Arabidopsis thaliana: one gene and its partner. The protein of the gene in region 2 interacts with the protein of the main gene of each other region in a biochemical or structural test. Each region holds a gene or a part of one and is shown on either strand. Other genes may lie near its edges.

Region 1 (7,821 bases), on a different chromosome or scaffold from region 2:
ACGTCCTAAACTTCAGAAATATCCACTACAACAAGTCGTGAACTCTTAACTTTGACTAGGTTCTGTCATTTGTTTTGGTTTCAGTTTTTAATCATGAGCACTACACAAAAGGCTTTGCTTTGTCTAGGTTATGTATGTAGTCTGTTTCCAATGCAAGAACGATTTAGACAAAAGGGTAACTTCCTGAACTTAGATATTCACTACAATAAGTCTTTAATTAAACAACCGAATTGTTAAGGGGGACAAAAGCATATTCAAACCCCAACAGGCAAACAAGGCTGGCGATAATAGTCACAAAAAACATTCCAAGCCTTAGTGTCGATGCCTGGCTTCAAGGCCGAGAGAGATCCTAAGCTGAAAGTCAGATAGCCTATTGAACTACTACTTACTTACTGAGCCAAGTAGGGCTGCTCATTTAACAGAAGAACATGGAGTTGGCGACGTTGTCTTTGAGTCTTGGGAGCTGTGCAACAGAGATTGGTCCTGGAGCTGTGATACCACCATGGCTTGATGATGTCTCAGACTGATCTTCAAACTTCATGAACGTCCCAAGCTGAGCAGCTGCCAAGTGAGCATAGCAGATCGGCGCAACTGCACAAAAAATTAAAATGTCAGTTATTAAGAGAACAAATGAAGACGACTTTAAATCGATGGAGTAGAGAAAACAGTTATGGTAATTACCAACAGAAATGGCACTGGTGCTTCTTTGGTACCTGGAATTTTGCCAAAGAAAGAAATCAGATAATTTCTGTTATCATCACAATCGAAGTTGTCACAAAAAATGTAATGAAGGTTGAATAAGAGACTACATACACATAGGAGAGCGAGTGGACAAGTTCCTGAAGTTCGTCAGCTGAAAAACCAATCTCATCATACAGGACGTGGTAGTGAGTTGGGCGGGTAGTTCCCTAATTCAGAACATAAAGAGTATTAAAACGATTCAGAGGAGCAAACATTAACAAATAAAGTTTTGAGTTGATAGATGAAACTTACAATCATTCCAGCGTGAGCACAGAGGTAGAAATCATTGTTCTTTGGGTGACATATTTTGTTGTCAATGATTGTCCCTGCAAAATAACCAAAACCCCCATGAGATAGAGATCAGCTATGTGTCAAAAAAGGTTATAATATAGATTTGTCAATCACCTGGAGGAACATTTTCAGGAGACGTTGGCTGGAAGAACTTGGTATGATGATTCTTTTGAGCCACCAACAAAAGGAACTTTGGGTTCCAATTTGCGTCTAAGAGCTTGCAAGCCTGAGGAAAGAGAAATGCAATTAAGTACTAACAGAAGAAGAAAATTACACTGAGAAACTTTTATTTTGAAGTTTCAACTACCTCGATGATCTGATCAAGTTCAATATTCAGAACCTGATTGAATTGAGATTCACTCACACCATCCCTAGAAGCATTAAACATCGAAACAACCAATATGAGAAAATAAAGATGGGAAAAATGAAGAGACAAAAGCTCTGATGTAACATACCTGAAAATTATGATATGCTCTGGTTTTCTCTTATTCGAGCTGGTGTAGAAATCTACCAGCAACTCCCTGCAATCAACAAATAAAGTTACATAGATACTTAAACCAGACTTCATGCAAAGATTAAACAAAAGCCACATCAAGAGTTAGTGTAAGTGCACACTTGATAATGCCATCGTCTTCAGTTCCATTTTTCTTGACAAGGGACTCAATCATCTCAGCCTTAGAAGGCTGTGTCCGAACAGATGCTCTATATTTGGATATCAGTGGCCACTCCCTAGAACTCACCACCTAAGTTAATCATAACAAAAGAGACAACTAAATATCAGTCTTGAAGAACTAGCCAAACTAAAAAGCAAACAACAGCAGTGAGTAAACATTTTACAGCAGCGATGGACGGGACATCAGACTGTCCAGGAGATCCATGTGAAACATCCATCCCAAGGATAATGGTTGGAACCTTAGAAATCACAGTGAACGCAGGTGTACGCTCTACACTTAACATTGAGTTCAGGCCTCCAAGCTGTAGTTATATGTTATCAGAGATTGCACACAAGAAGCAAAAACCATTTCCAAAAGAGAAAAAAGGAGAGAGATCACCTTTGCATTAATCTTCAGAAGTAAGTTAGTAAGATACTGATCATTAGGTTGCCGCGTTGGAGCCATGCATTGAGTAACAATGCCAAATTCAGTTAAGTTTTTTTTCTTCCATGGACCTGATGAAGGATTCAAAGTATTTATCCAAGGAAACTTCTATTATATAAAACAAAAAGATGATTGAAGACTGGATTTAAGAGATATCTAACCATAGAGATCACTGTTCTTTTTGTCAGGGAGCACACATAGTATGAATTGTGGGACACCAGGGAGTTTCGATTGGATGTCCTTAAACATGTTCTCAACACGAATCATAGGAGGAGCACGGCGGAATTGATTACCCTCCTCAAACACTTGAAAGGGAGAAGCAATTTCCTGGGACAGAATACAGAAAGAAGCAGTATCTAAATTGTTGATAATCACAAACAAGTTTTCAAGAATACTAAAAACAAAAGAAGAGAATCCTGCTTACAATTCCTTTTGATCCTCCAATTTTTATCAGATCATCAACAACTTGACGTACATTACAGCGAGCAGAGAAATTGACAACAACCCATCGTTGAATTTTGGTGGGCTCAACAAATTCCTGTACAACAAAGGGAATCAGACTCTCTGAACAGGTAAAATACAAAGAAAGGCAGAGAGAAACAGCACCTTGTTGTTGAAGTTCCAGCGACCATTTCTGGGAAAGGTTTCAGATCCACATCCCATTTTCAGCTGTCAGTCAAAGAAAACAAGAGAATATTACATGTATGCAAAAGCTAAAAACAATTCATCATGTCAAAAAGTAAGCGATCGCACCATACCTTGGGAGCTGGTAGAACACGACCCTCCACCTGAGTAAAGTTGGAGCTGATCGAAATGCCACAGGATCGCAGGAGTGGTTCCGCATCATAGTTGCTAACTTTCAGAGCCTGAAAGCATGAAACCAAAGATATGTAAATTCCAGTTCACTGACAAAACAGAACAGTTATGAAGCGGTCAGGATACTTTACTTTGGACAGAACAGTCATCCTCTCTTGGGGTTTCTGTCTGGATTTCTCAACAAGGGCAGATCTTTGGAACGTGGTAAGTGCTTTTGTGTACCTCTGAAGTGGAACCAACGCGCAGAGCTGCGAAAATTCCACCACATTACATACATTAGCATGATTTTTGAAAACAAATTAATACCATGACTATGAGAACGTTGATGAGTATAAGAGGCAAACCTCGAGAGGAATGTAAGTGGGTCGCTTTGGCTTCCCAACATTGATGCAAGGCAAATCCGCAGAATATTGCAAATCAATATGCCTTGTATCGCGGAAGTAGTCAGCAACTGTAACTTCAGTAGTTTCGAACTCTCCATTTTCATTTGGGTTCCTTTTCTTCAATTCAAACCTAGACAGTGTAAAAAGCAAACTTCAGAGAACCATTTATCTTTGAAAGAGATCACAACGTCAGAAAACTAAAACAGAAACAAATGCATCTCACAACAAAGTCAAATTAGTGAATATCTTACGTTTGTTCCCTGCAAGGCTTGTCACTCAATCCGGTTATCTTGAATTCTTGGCCTGAGGGGCTGACCTTTACCCTTAGGTTCTTAAGGGTTCGTTTAGCCTGTTGAAAACAACATGTTAAAATGTGTCAAGCCAAGCAAAAGAGGTAAGGAACATGTTTAGATTATGAAAAAGCCACATATCATAATAAGTAGTTAACCTTAGACCAGTCAATCGAATAAGGGTCCCTAGCATTTTGGTTAGCAATTAGGAAATCAACCACTGGACCAGGCTTGATGATCATGGTGGTTGTAACATCTAGCATAAGAACAAAACATAAACTATTAGACACTAAATTATTGCTACAACAGACAGAATCAAACACCAACATCAAGTACAAGTGAAATTATGTACCCATATTAAGTGACATGCCACCCTGCGTTGTTCTGAAACTGGAGTGAAATCCCCTACATCCTAAGATGTTACCACCAACTGGTTCACAGTTGGTTGGATCATTGTGGAAAAAAGACTGTCGAACAAGCAAGCAACCTCTGCAATTTGTACCATAGGTATTAGAAAGACAAATATATGAGATTAACAAAATACATATATACACTTGACACTTACTGTCTAGCAGCATGTTGCCTCAATATGATATCAAGAACCCGTATTGCCTCCTGGGAATTCTCTGATTCTTGTCCCCGCATTGCATTAGCAAGAGCTTGAAGAGGAATTTTGGCCGCATAGCTGATCTCCACTCTAAAGTTTTTGGACCGGTTAGGCCTACGCAGTCTTTTCCTATCACCATCACTTGGACTTTCATTCCCATTGGGGCTTCCGTTTCCATTAGCCCTGCTCACAAAATCCTTACTAAGAACAAAAACTAAAGCACACAACCAATGTAATGACTATAGTCAGATGATGTTTTACCTTGTAGCAGATACTTCCTCAAGCACCACAGAAAAATCCATCTTGTTACTAGGCAAAGCTCCATATGTAAACAACGTCTTCTCACCGTCATAAGCAAACTCTTTACCATCCAGATCAGAATGGTAAGTCTGATGCACCTTGTCAAGGATTTTTCTTCCAACACCCTTTTGTTCAACAGGACGACCATCATCATAGAATAGAGCCACCTGTACAAACCCACAAATAATCCCATTAGTTTGACATCATTCAGAACCAAATAACAGAATAAGTCAACATAACAGTAGCAAAAAAACATACACACTGCATCCATTCTAGTGACATCAATCATCCAACAAAAATAACACAAAATAGTTTCAAAAACTTACACTGTAGTGGAAGAAATGACCCTGAAGATTAGCCACATCGACTTTGAAATGATTTGTTAACAAGGGGATCTTTTGGCCCCTTGTTCCAAATCCTTTTCGAGCCATAGGAACTCGAACTGGCCCCTTCTTCTCAGCAAGTTCAGTTTTAACACGAACTGGTTCCACATTTGGAGGTATAACTGGTGGAGGAGGTGGTAATGCCTCAGTAACCCCACTCCCGTTTGCCCCATTTGCTGATTCAAGATCAGCTCCGTTACCATTTGTTGAATCCATCTCCTGCTCAAAGAAACCAAACAAAAAAAAAGTTCAGATTTCAACATTTATAAGCAAAAGACACAATCCTATACAAAACCAAGCAAAAATTTCAACATATATGAGTTTGTTCTGTCGCAATCTAAACAAACATCAAAGCAAAAATGGTAAAATTTGAGAAAGTTTGCAACTTTCCTTCATAAATCCCAAAAGAGAAGTAAAATCTTTGACTAAAACTAAAAAGCCCCAATTTTTTTGACGCATGCAAGTGTAAGCAAACATGTATAACACGGAAAAACGTCAGCTTTCATGACATAGTAACAAAATTGCGTCAGCCATGTGACAGTTCATAGCTTTATTCAAAAGACAAACCCAGAAAGGTGACATCTTTGAAGCAAAAACCTCATCAAAAATCTCACCTTTAAAACAAAAAAACCCACAAAATCAAAGTGAAGAAGCTCTATAAGCAAGAAAAATCCAAACTTTTTAACACATTAACTCTAAAATCTACAAAAGAACACTGCATGTGAAGTATTCAAGCTTGAGAGTAAGAATTTGTAAAAAAAAACTCGGAAAAAATAGGTTTTTGATATGAAAAACACAGAAACCACACAAAAAGTCACAAACCCAGAGATTAAAGAAGCCACATTTCTAAGAAATACACAAAACCTATGAGCTAAAGAACATAAACCCTACAGTAGAATCAAACAAAAAAGCACACTCACAAGACCCTAAAATCATCACCTTTGAGTTTATCGATGAAACAAAAACGAAACCCTAGCCGAAACAAGAGAGGATTATTTTTCTTTCTTTTTTTTTCAATTTCTCTCTTTTGCTTTTTTATTTTACTCTCAAAATTTAGCTCCGACCTGAGAGGAAAATGGTTCAGTGACAGTAGCATAAATCGAGGATTCTTCGCTTTCAGTTATGTTCCTCTACGTCACGGCTCCATCATAGTAGAGCTACTCTTACAATCTTGACCGTTAAAATGGTTGACTTATGTTATTGACTTCGCTTTGTGTCCCGCTAGATTATTTTAAATTTTTTAATTTCAATTGGTAGTGGTGGTAGACAAACCTTCTGTGTTCTAATATTGAATGTGCGCATTAATTGACACGTACATGCTACATAACTATGGATTTAACAACTGTGTTACAATAATTATAAATTATTATTAAGCACAATATAAAATTTAAACAGTTTTATGTCTCCTAAACTATGTAACTTATTGTCAATTAGTTTATGTGCTTCAATGATCTCGTTTATGGTTGATCCTCACTGGAATCCATTTTTGATTATTGACTAAAAAGGTATCTAAGCCGCAATTATAAAAATTATAAATTGGTGAATAGAGATTAGGTGGATTCAATAAAGAAAACTATAATTGGAGATGATTCTTGATCTGTGATTAAGGTTATAAGTGGAGAAAGACAAATAGTCAAGTGTGTGACATTTGGAACTTACATAGCTAGCCAGCTGGAGAATGAGGGTATCTACAAATATTCTCTATAGTTTAGTTATATTACACACATCGGCAAGTTAGCTATATATGGTTAATTACAGATGCAATTGGAACCAAAATTAAAATGATACTCCACTTAGAGAGACATCACATTTTTGAAGTATATAAGATCAGGAGGTGCTTGAATTATGTTATTAATATTATACATTGTGTACACTTGAGATATAGGATATAATAAATTTAGTTAGTTAGTGTTGACATATAGTTTTTAAGTGTTTGACATTTGGAACGTACGTAGTTAGCCAAGCCAGCTGGAGGACAAAAACTAGCTAGTTGGTGAAAATGGATATCTACAATTACCTTCTAGCTAGCTAGGTGGCTAAAGACAGATGCACTCGGAACCAAAACAAACAAGATACCCGACTTGAAGAGACCACATTTTAAAGCATACAAGATCAAGAGAGGTGTTTGAGTTGTGTCTACGTTCAGACCCAAAGAAAATTGAAAGAAAACGATTTCTGGCCTAACCATCTAGCAAGTGATATTTAGGATCGGATGCTTTGTAACTTAAAGGAATTTGTGTGCATTGTTTCTTAACCATTGTGATAGTTTACCAAATTGATTTTGAATTTGGCTAAGTTACGTTAGAGGCTTTTACCACACTAATCATGAATTAGCCTAATTGTTAGAGGTTCATTATCTTGAAAATATGTAGATCGATTGCATGATTTCTAACATCTTGATTGTTCAATTTATCTATCTTGTTTATTTGCTCATTTTAGTTCTTAATTTTGTTAGTTTAGTTTTCAATTATCTACTATATATAGTTTAATTGCTTTCATTTATCCCTTCTTTTATTCTATGCATGTTAGGGTATTAGTGAGACCGTAGATTCTCATACCGTCTTATGGCAAATGATTTCATCATAATTTAATGTGTTATACTGTTATGGCATTTTCCCGTGGATTTGATTCAATCTTTAGTTACTCCAATGACATACCACGCATATGCGTAATGTGTATTTATGGTTAAAATTACATCACATGAGAGTATCGGACAATTTACAAAAATGTATACGAGGTAGTGTATAAGACGGTGTATGGGATAATTCATATGGTTCAGTACAAAATAATATACTAGGCTGTGTGCGTGAAGGGATGTATGAGATGGTATAAACAGAGGTGTATAAGATGATGTACAAGGCCGTGTACAAGATAATGTGAGATTATGTAAAAGATAGTATACAAGATGGTGTG
Region 2 (7,586 bases):
GATACTGGTCGTTCACGTGGATTCGGGTTTATCACTTTTGCTGATCGCCGCGCTATGGATGAGTCCATCAGAGAGATGCATGGAAGGGACTTTGGTGATCGGGTCATCTCAGTGAACAGAGCTGAACCAAAACTGGGGCGAGATGATGGAGAAAGTCATGGCTCTAGAGGTGGCAGAGACAGTGGCTACTCGATTGCTGGAAAAGGAAGCTTTGGTGGAGGTGGAGGTGGAGGTGGGCGTGTTGGTGAAGATGAATGCTTCAAGTGTGGACGGGTTGGGCACTGGGCCCGTGATTGTCCTTCTGCTGGTGGTGGTCGTGGAGGACCTGTTGGTGGTTTTTCTTCACGTGCTAGTGCGTATGGAGGATCTGATGGACGTGTTGACCGCTATGCTGACCGTGACCGCTATGTGGACCGCGAACGATACATAGATGATCGATACGACGGTGCTGCACGCTATGGTGCTAGAGACAGGTTTGACAGCAGAGAAGCCTACATACCCCGTGATCGATACGCCAGTGACAGGTTAGAATCAAGTTTCTAATGCAACTCAGATTATTGTAAGGTTATCAAAGTGACTTGCTTTTCTTACATAACTTTATTCTTATCTGTGATTTTACAGGTATGCAGCCCCGGCTGATCGGTTTGCAGGTGGTGATAGATACAGCCGTGGATCAGACCGTTATCCTCCAGGGAGCTATGACAAAGCTCGGTCCTTTGAGAGAGACATAGCCCCGAGTGCAGGCAGTGACAGGTACGGTGGTGGTAGAGCTGGTGGTCCCATCCGTGGAGGAGGAGAGGAGGGAAGAGGGTTTAGAAGCAGAGCCGGTGCTCCTTATGAGAGACCGAGCAGAAGTGGTGGTGGTGGAGCTTATCCGTCGTCGTCCACTTTTGACCGTTATTAAGACACATTAATGAAAGAAAGTGAGAATGATGCTTGGTTAGAGCTCTATACACTCAGTCGTGTGTGTTGCTTGTGGTAATGAATATCTCTGTAAGCGTTATAGGTGTAAAAGACTTGTCTTTTTTATTTATATATGATTAGTTTGCGGACCTGTTTAGCTTTGTATTTTGATCCTTTATTATTTTTGGTTTGTTTTGGACCATAACATGACTTTTGAGCTTCGTCAGTCAATGTTAAACCTTGCACACATAACTAGCCTTTTTAGTTTCATCATCAATGTACAAGAGACGAGTGTCTTAGGCATCCGCATGTTATTCTAAAATTTTGATTTATTGTTTTGTATACTGTACATATTGCTTCATATTGTCAAAATTTTCGTTTTTTCCTATAAGTTCAATCTATTACCAAATAGGCAAATAAAACGAAGCAGAATATTATTGTAGAGACAAAAGAAAAGTTGAGAAATTAATTAAAACAATAAAGAGTCCAAATCGATTGGATAATAAAAAGGCCTTAAAAGAGTAAAGAGTAAAAAAAAAAGCCACTCAAAAGTCGGAAAACAATCACATCTATAAACGTTTTCTTCACTCTCTCTGCTACTTGTCTCTCAAAAGAAATGCAATTGTGAAAGCCCTAAACTAACCGTGAAGAAGACGATGGATCGCAAGGGAAAGGGTAAACAGGTCGCCGGTAGTGATTCGTATTCCGGCGGACAGAAAAGGAAAAACTCCGTCGAATTCAGAGATGAAGGTTTGAGGATTAAGAAGCGCAAAAACCCTGAGGTTCTTCAGTTCTTCGAAGAATCAGCTGAAGTTGGCTACTACGGAGGCAGCTCCGACGAAGATGATGACGGATTAGGTTTCCTTAACGGTAATTTATCATTATCTTCTCTGGGTTCGTTGATTTTCTTCTTTGCATGGTTTCATTGCTTCGTTTCTTCTTTTGTGAGGTCTCCGATTGTGTCTGTTTTTGTTTCTACTGAGATTTTTACCATCTAAAGTGGCGATTTTTAGGTCATCTCTGTCGAATGGCTGATTCCGTGACTAGGGTTTAGGGTTTGCATTTTGTTTTCGTTTGATTTCGAGCTGTTTTGTCTAGTTTTAACTTTTAAGGCTTTCATACTCTTAAAGCTTGAACATTGCAGAAAGTTCCACACTTTATTATCTTACTATTCTTTTGATGCAGATATGGAAGACGAGCCTGAGGTGGAAGAGAGTAGTAAGGCTGGCAAGGGAGAAAAGGGCAAATCATCCTTTGTTTTTCCCAAGGAAGAAGATTTAAACGAGGAGGAATTTGATAGAATAATGGAAGAAAGATACAAGCCAGGTTCTGGTTTTCTTAGATATGCTGATGATGATATCAAAGATGCCATTGAGATGGATGCTCTTGCTCCAACCTCCAAGGATCCTCCTATATGGAAAGTCAAGTGTGCGGTATGTCAAACTAAGGCTTCTTCTACTTATGCTTTATCCCTGTATGACTATGTTCTTACTTCTGCTCACTCCATTTGGTTTGTTCCTGTAGATTGGACGGGAGAGGCGATCCGTTTTCTGTCTCATGCACAAATTTGTTGAGCTGAGAAAGATAGGCACCAAATTGGAGATCATATCTGTTTTTTCTGTGGACCATGTCAAAGGTTTCATTTTCATAGAAGCGGACAAGGAACATGATGTTCTTGAGGTATTGAACATTTAGCATGCCTATGTTGGATTATTCTCGTACTTATCTGACAGTTTGGAGAATGTTGCTTGGGGATAATCATAATGTGTATGTCATTCTGATTTGTCTAATTTTCCTAGGCATGCAAGAGTTTAGTTGGTATATACGCTACTCGGATGGTGTTACTTCCTAAAGCCGAAACTCCAAATCTGCTAACTGTCCAAAAAAAAACTAAAAAAGTTTCTGAGGGAACATGGGCTCGTGTTAAGAATGGTAAATACAAAGGAGATCTTGCTCAGGTACAATTTACTTTGCTGTATATGTTTCCTTTTCATATTCTTTTCTTGGTAAGGCTACCTCCTAATCTGTTTATGTTATATGTCCTTGTAGATTGTGGCTGTGAGTGACACTCGGAATAAAGCACTAATAAAGCTAATTCCGAGGATTGATATTCAGGCCTTGACCCAGAAATATGTAGCTACCCTGTCTCCTCGCTCATTTATTTGTCTGTGCCACTAATTTTGGGACTGTTTTTCTTGTGCGTTCATGTCATCTTATCGTTTGCTCTGTGCTTTACTCTAACTTTCTGGTGCAGGGTGGGGGAGTTACTGTCCAAAAAGGCCAGACTCCAGCTCCAAGATTGATCAGTTCAAGCGAGCTCGAGTAAAAGCTTGATCTTTTCTTCTCGTTTGGTAAATAATTACCACCTTTCTAATCTTTCTTCTCCTCTCTTTTATCACAGGGAGTTCAGACCTCTCATTCAAGTGAGGCGAGATCGTGATACTGGAATAACTTTTGAACATCTTGATAGTCTGATGCTGAAAGATGGGTATCTCTATAAGAAAGTATCCTTAGATTCAATATCTTCCTGGGGGGTTATACCAACGAAGGATGAGTTACTAAAATTTACGCCTGTAGACCGAAAAGAAACTGGTGATGTAGAGTGGATCTCAGAAATTTATGGTGAAGAAAGGAAGAAAAAGATTCTTCCAACCTGCAGAGAGGGTGGGAAAGGAGAAGGATCAGGGGGTGGAAAAGGAGAAGGATCAGGGGGTGGAAAAGGAGAAGGGTCAAGGGGTGGAAAAGGAGAAGGTTCATCAGATTTCAAGTCAGAAAGTAGCTATGAGTTATATAATCTAGTTTGTTTCAGGTAAGGATTCGTCCATAACTGTACTTTTTTGCAAGTCTTTGTTGTAATTTCATATGTTAAGCACTTCCTATCTTTCCCTTTGTAGTCGAAAAGACTTTGGTCTGATTGTGGGTGTGGATGACAAAGGTGACGGTTACAAGGTATGTAGTTATTCACCATCTCTTAATACCCTATGGCCTGTCTCTGATGATTTTCAAATGTTACAGGTTCTGAAAGAAGGTATAGATGGACCCGTTGTAGTCACTGTTGGAAAAAAAGAAATGCAGAATGGACCGTTTGATTCAAAATTTACTGCCTTGGATCTGAACAAGAAACAAATATCAGTAAATGATGTTGTGAAGATTTCCAAAGGCCCATCCGAGGTGTGATTTTAAATTTCATTTTCTTGTTTGTTTCTGTTGCACTTTTCTTTCACATAATTAGGTGAACAATTTTGTGTAAAAACTTATTAGTTTTCATGCATAAATTATAAATTTAGGGTAAACAAGGAGTTGTAAGGCAAGTATACAGAGGGATCATATTCCTTTATGATGAGAGCGAGGAAGAAAATGGTGGATATTTCTGCTGCAAATCACAATCATGTGAGAAAGTTAAACTCTTTACTGAAGAGTCCAATGAGAAGGTAAAATAGCCCAGTCCCTGCAGCTGTCTTTTGATACAATTGCAAGATCTTCGCGTTCTGATAACATTCTGTTTTTTTCTCAGACTGGTGGATTTGATGGTACAGCTTTTGAAGATTTTGTATCCTCCCCAAAATCGCCGCTATCTCCTGAAAAAGAGTGGCAGCCCAGGGAAAGATACAATAGCTGTAAGTATGGAGGGTTATTATAATCTAGCTTCTTTTTAATACCTTAGGCTTCTCATAAATGATAATCAAATGCAGCCAACCAAGGAGACATAGGTAGCACGTATTCTATAGGCCAAAAGCTGAGGATACGGGTGGGTCCATTGAAGGGGTATCTCTGCCGTGTAATAGCTTTACGTTATTCTGATGTTACAGTCAAGCTTGATTCCCAGCATAAAATTTTCACAGGTTTGTTTTCATGCGTTTACTCCTTTGATATAATACTGTTCTATTGTGCTTATGAATATTTTCAATGATACTATTCAGTTAAAAGTGAGCATCTTGCTGAGGTTCGCGACAGAAACACTGTGCTAAGTACAAGGTAAGCTCACATGAATCTCTTGAATTCTTTACTCGGACTCTTGACTCTGTCCATGCATCTTTATCATTCATTGTCCTCTCTGTCAAATTCCTATTTCTCTTACACGCTCTGTTTGCTATAAAAGTGGGGATGCGGGTACTGGTTCCTTTCAACCTTTTGGCATGCTTGGAACAGAAAGCAGCACTGGAGGTTGGTGTTTCTTGTGCACATTCAGAATTCTTTTCAATTTGGCTGCAAATACGTATAGCATACCTGCTTTGTTCTTAAATGCCCTGAACCAGTTGAACATTGCTAGCCATCTATCCTATTTCCTTTTAACTGTTCTCTTTTCTCGTATGGTAGACTGGGCGATAGGAGCAGGGACGTCAAGTGAGGGTGGTAACTGGAATATAGGAGGCCCTTCTACTGACTCGTAAGTCTAATTCCCAATTATGTAGCCAAATGTAGTTATGGTTTCCTTAGATATAATTGGATATTCTTCAAATTTGGATCTAGTTCCTTCAGATATAACTACTGGGATGTAAACAAATTATTGGGATGATAAGCTTTCTTCAACTGATTTTTGTGTTGATTCCTTCTGCGGTTTGGGGTTGTTTTTTTTTGCTGGTTTTTGTCCCTTGATATATAGATTTTAGGCATGAGAGTCTCAATATTGAACGTAACATGGTTCAACTGTGCCGTGAGAAGTGTGTTAATAATAATATGAATTTCTCCCTGAGCTGATTTATTGCCTAAATCGCTGTAACAAAATTTTGATCTCATGTCCTCCTTACAGGAACCCATGGGGCGGCAGTAAGCCTACGTCTGACGTCTCGGTAAGTCTTGAACTTAATACTTTTATGTCGTTACTTTTACATTTACACCTCTTTTAGCGTCAAAGGGCTCAAGGAACTCGCAGATTTCTTAATGTCACAAGGTTTCTACTCTGCAGCCAACAGTTGCAGATGATAATACTTCAGCATGGGCCAATGCAGCAGCTGAGAACAAACCTGCCTCGGCTAGTGATCAACCTGGTGGTTGGAATCCCTGGGGTAAAACACCTGCTTCTGAAGCTGGCACTGTTAGTGGATGGGGAGATACAAGTGCTTCAAATGTTGAAGCTTCTTCGTGGGAAAAACAAGGAGCTTCTACTTCCAATGTTGCAGATTTAGGTTCCTGGGGTACGCATGGTGGAAGCTCTGGTGGTAATAAGCAAGATGAGGACTCGGTATGGGGTAAACTATGTGAAGCTTCTGAATCAAGTCAGAAGAAAGAAGAATCGTCTTGGGGTAAGAAAGGGGGATCAGATGGAGAATCTAGTTGGGGAAACAAAGATGGAAATTCCAGCGCAAGTAAGAAAGATGGAGTTTCCTGGGGACAACAGGATAAAGGCTCTGACGAGAGCAAGGGAGGATCTGCATGGAGTAATCAATGTGGAGATTTTGGTTCAGGGAAGAAAAAAGATGGTTCTTCTGGTTGGAACAAGTCAGCAGAAGATTCCAATGCCAATAGTAAGGGAGTTCCTGACTGGGGCCAACCAAATGATGGCTCTTCATGGGGTAAAAAGGGTGACGGAGCGGCATCGTGGGGTAAAAAGGATGACGGAGGCTCGTGGGGTAAAAAGGATGACGGTAATAAGGATGATGGAGGATCATCGTGGGGTAAGAAAGATGACGGTCAAAAGGATGACGGAGGATCGTCTTGGGAGAAAAAGTTTGATGGAGGATCATCATGGGGTAAGAAGGACGATGGAGGATCTTCTTGGGGCAAAAAGGATGATGGAGGATCGTTGTGGGGAAAAAAGGATGATGGAGGATCTTCTTGGGGCAAAGAGGATGATGGAGGATCGTTGTGGGGTAAGAAGGATGATGGAGAATCGTCGTGGGGTAAGAAGGATGATGGAGAATCGTCGTGGGGTAAGAAGGATGATGGAGGATCGTCGTGGGGTAAGAAGGATGAGGGAGGGTACTCAGAACAAACATTTGATAGGGGAGGACGTGGGTTTGGTGGGAGAAGAGGAGGAGGTCGTCGAGGTGGCAGGGATCAGTTTGGGAGGGGAAGCTCCTTCGGTAATTCTGAGGTTAGTTTGAGAAAAAACTTTCTTATTTTATTTTTGTAGGCTGTTGAAGTCTCATATTGTAATTTTCCAATGACTGTAGGATCCGGCTCCATGGAGTAAACCAAGTGGCGGATCTAGCTGGGGCAAGCAAGATGGCGATGGGGGCGGTTCAAGCTGGGGTAAAGAGAATGATGCTGGTGGTGGATCTAGCTGGGGAAAGCAAGACAATGGTGTTGGTTCAAGCTGGGGTAAACAGAACGATGGTAGTGGTGGTGGATCTAGCTGGGGCAAGCAGAATGATGCTGGTGGGGGATCTAGCTGGGGCAAGCAAGACAGTGGTGGGGATGGTTCGAGCTGGGGTAAGCAGGATGGTGGTGGTGATAGTGGTTCTGCTTGGGGTAAGCAGAACAATACTAGTGGTGGATCGAGCTGGGGAAAGCAGAGTGATGCTGGTGGGGGATCTAGCTGGGGCAAGCAAGACGGTGGTGGGGGTGGTTCAAGCTGGGGTAAACAAGATGGTGGTGGAGGCAGTGGTTCTGCCTGGGGTAAGCAGAACGAGACTAGCAATGGATCGAGCTGGGGGAAGCAGAATGATTCTGGTGGAGGATCAAGCTGGGGAAAGCAAGATGGTGGTGGGGGTGGTTCAAGCTGGGGTAAACAGAACGATGGT

The links. The genes of interacting proteins can lie anywhere in the genome.
Region 1: the proteins of KTF1 (region 2) and AGO4 form a complex in vitro, tested with the Arabidopsis thaliana proteins (2 studies listed by BioGRID).

Annotation. Positions count from the first base shown.
Region 1 is NC_003071.7:11,536,380-11,544,200, forward strand, and holds AGO4 (Argonaute family protein), read right to left. Parts: upstream 6,013-7,821; 5' UTR 5,848-6,012; exon of another isoform or gene 5,829-5,847; intron 5,128-5,828; 5' UTR 5,125-5,127; coding exon 4,852-5,124; intron 4,693-4,851; coding exon 4,487-4,692; intron 4,409-4,486; coding exon 4,184-4,408; intron 4,108-4,183; coding exon 3,971-4,107; intron 3,875-3,970; coding exon 3,777-3,874; intron 3,678-3,776; coding exon 3,580-3,677; intron 3,459-3,579; coding exon 3,290-3,458; intron 3,194-3,289; coding exon 3,077-3,193; intron 2,996-3,076; coding exon 2,888-2,995; intron 2,799-2,887; coding exon 2,736-2,798; intron 2,668-2,735; coding exon 2,554-2,667; intron 2,457-2,553; coding exon 2,291-2,456; intron 2,201-2,290; coding exon 2,085-2,200; intron 2,008-2,084; coding exon 1,870-2,007; intron 1,776-1,869; coding exon 1,648-1,775; intron 1,554-1,647; coding exon 1,488-1,553; intron 1,404-1,487; coding exon 1,340-1,403; intron 1,259-1,339; coding exon 1,147-1,258; and 10 more. UniProt on the Arabidopsis thaliana protein: Together with RDM3, required for transcriptional gene silencing (TGS) by DNA methylation and repressive histone modifications (H3K9me2) of several chromatin loci.
Region 2 is NC_003076.8:1,194,510-1,202,095, forward strand, and holds the start of KTF1 (kow domain-containing transcription factor 1), read left to right. Parts: upstream 1-1,559; coding exon 1,560-1,773; intron 1,774-2,088; coding exon 2,089-2,336; intron 2,337-2,427; coding exon 2,428-2,583; intron 2,584-2,702; coding exon 2,703-2,861; intron 2,862-2,952; coding exon 2,953-3,036; intron 3,037-3,157; coding exon 3,158-3,225; intron 3,226-3,304; coding exon 3,305-3,712; intron 3,713-3,797; coding exon 3,798-3,852; intron 3,853-3,918; coding exon 3,919-4,074; intron 4,075-4,190; coding exon 4,191-4,334; intron 4,335-4,417; coding exon 4,418-4,520; intron 4,521-4,595; coding exon 4,596-4,745; intron 4,746-4,823; coding exon 4,824-4,878; intron 4,879-5,002; coding exon 5,003-5,067; intron 5,068-5,220; coding exon 5,221-5,290; intron 5,291-5,513; coding exon 5,514-5,564; intron 5,565-5,653; coding exon 5,654-5,693; intron 5,694-5,809; coding exon 5,810-6,937; intron 6,938-7,016; coding exon 7,017-7,586. Other genes in the region: AtRZ-1c (RNA-binding (RRM/RBD/RNP motifs) family protein with retrovirus zinc finger-like domain-containing protein), read left to right, coding at 1-524, 622-904. UniProt on the Arabidopsis thaliana protein: Effector of RNA-directed DNA methylation (RdDM) triggered by small interfering RNAs (siRNAs, 24-nt RNAs).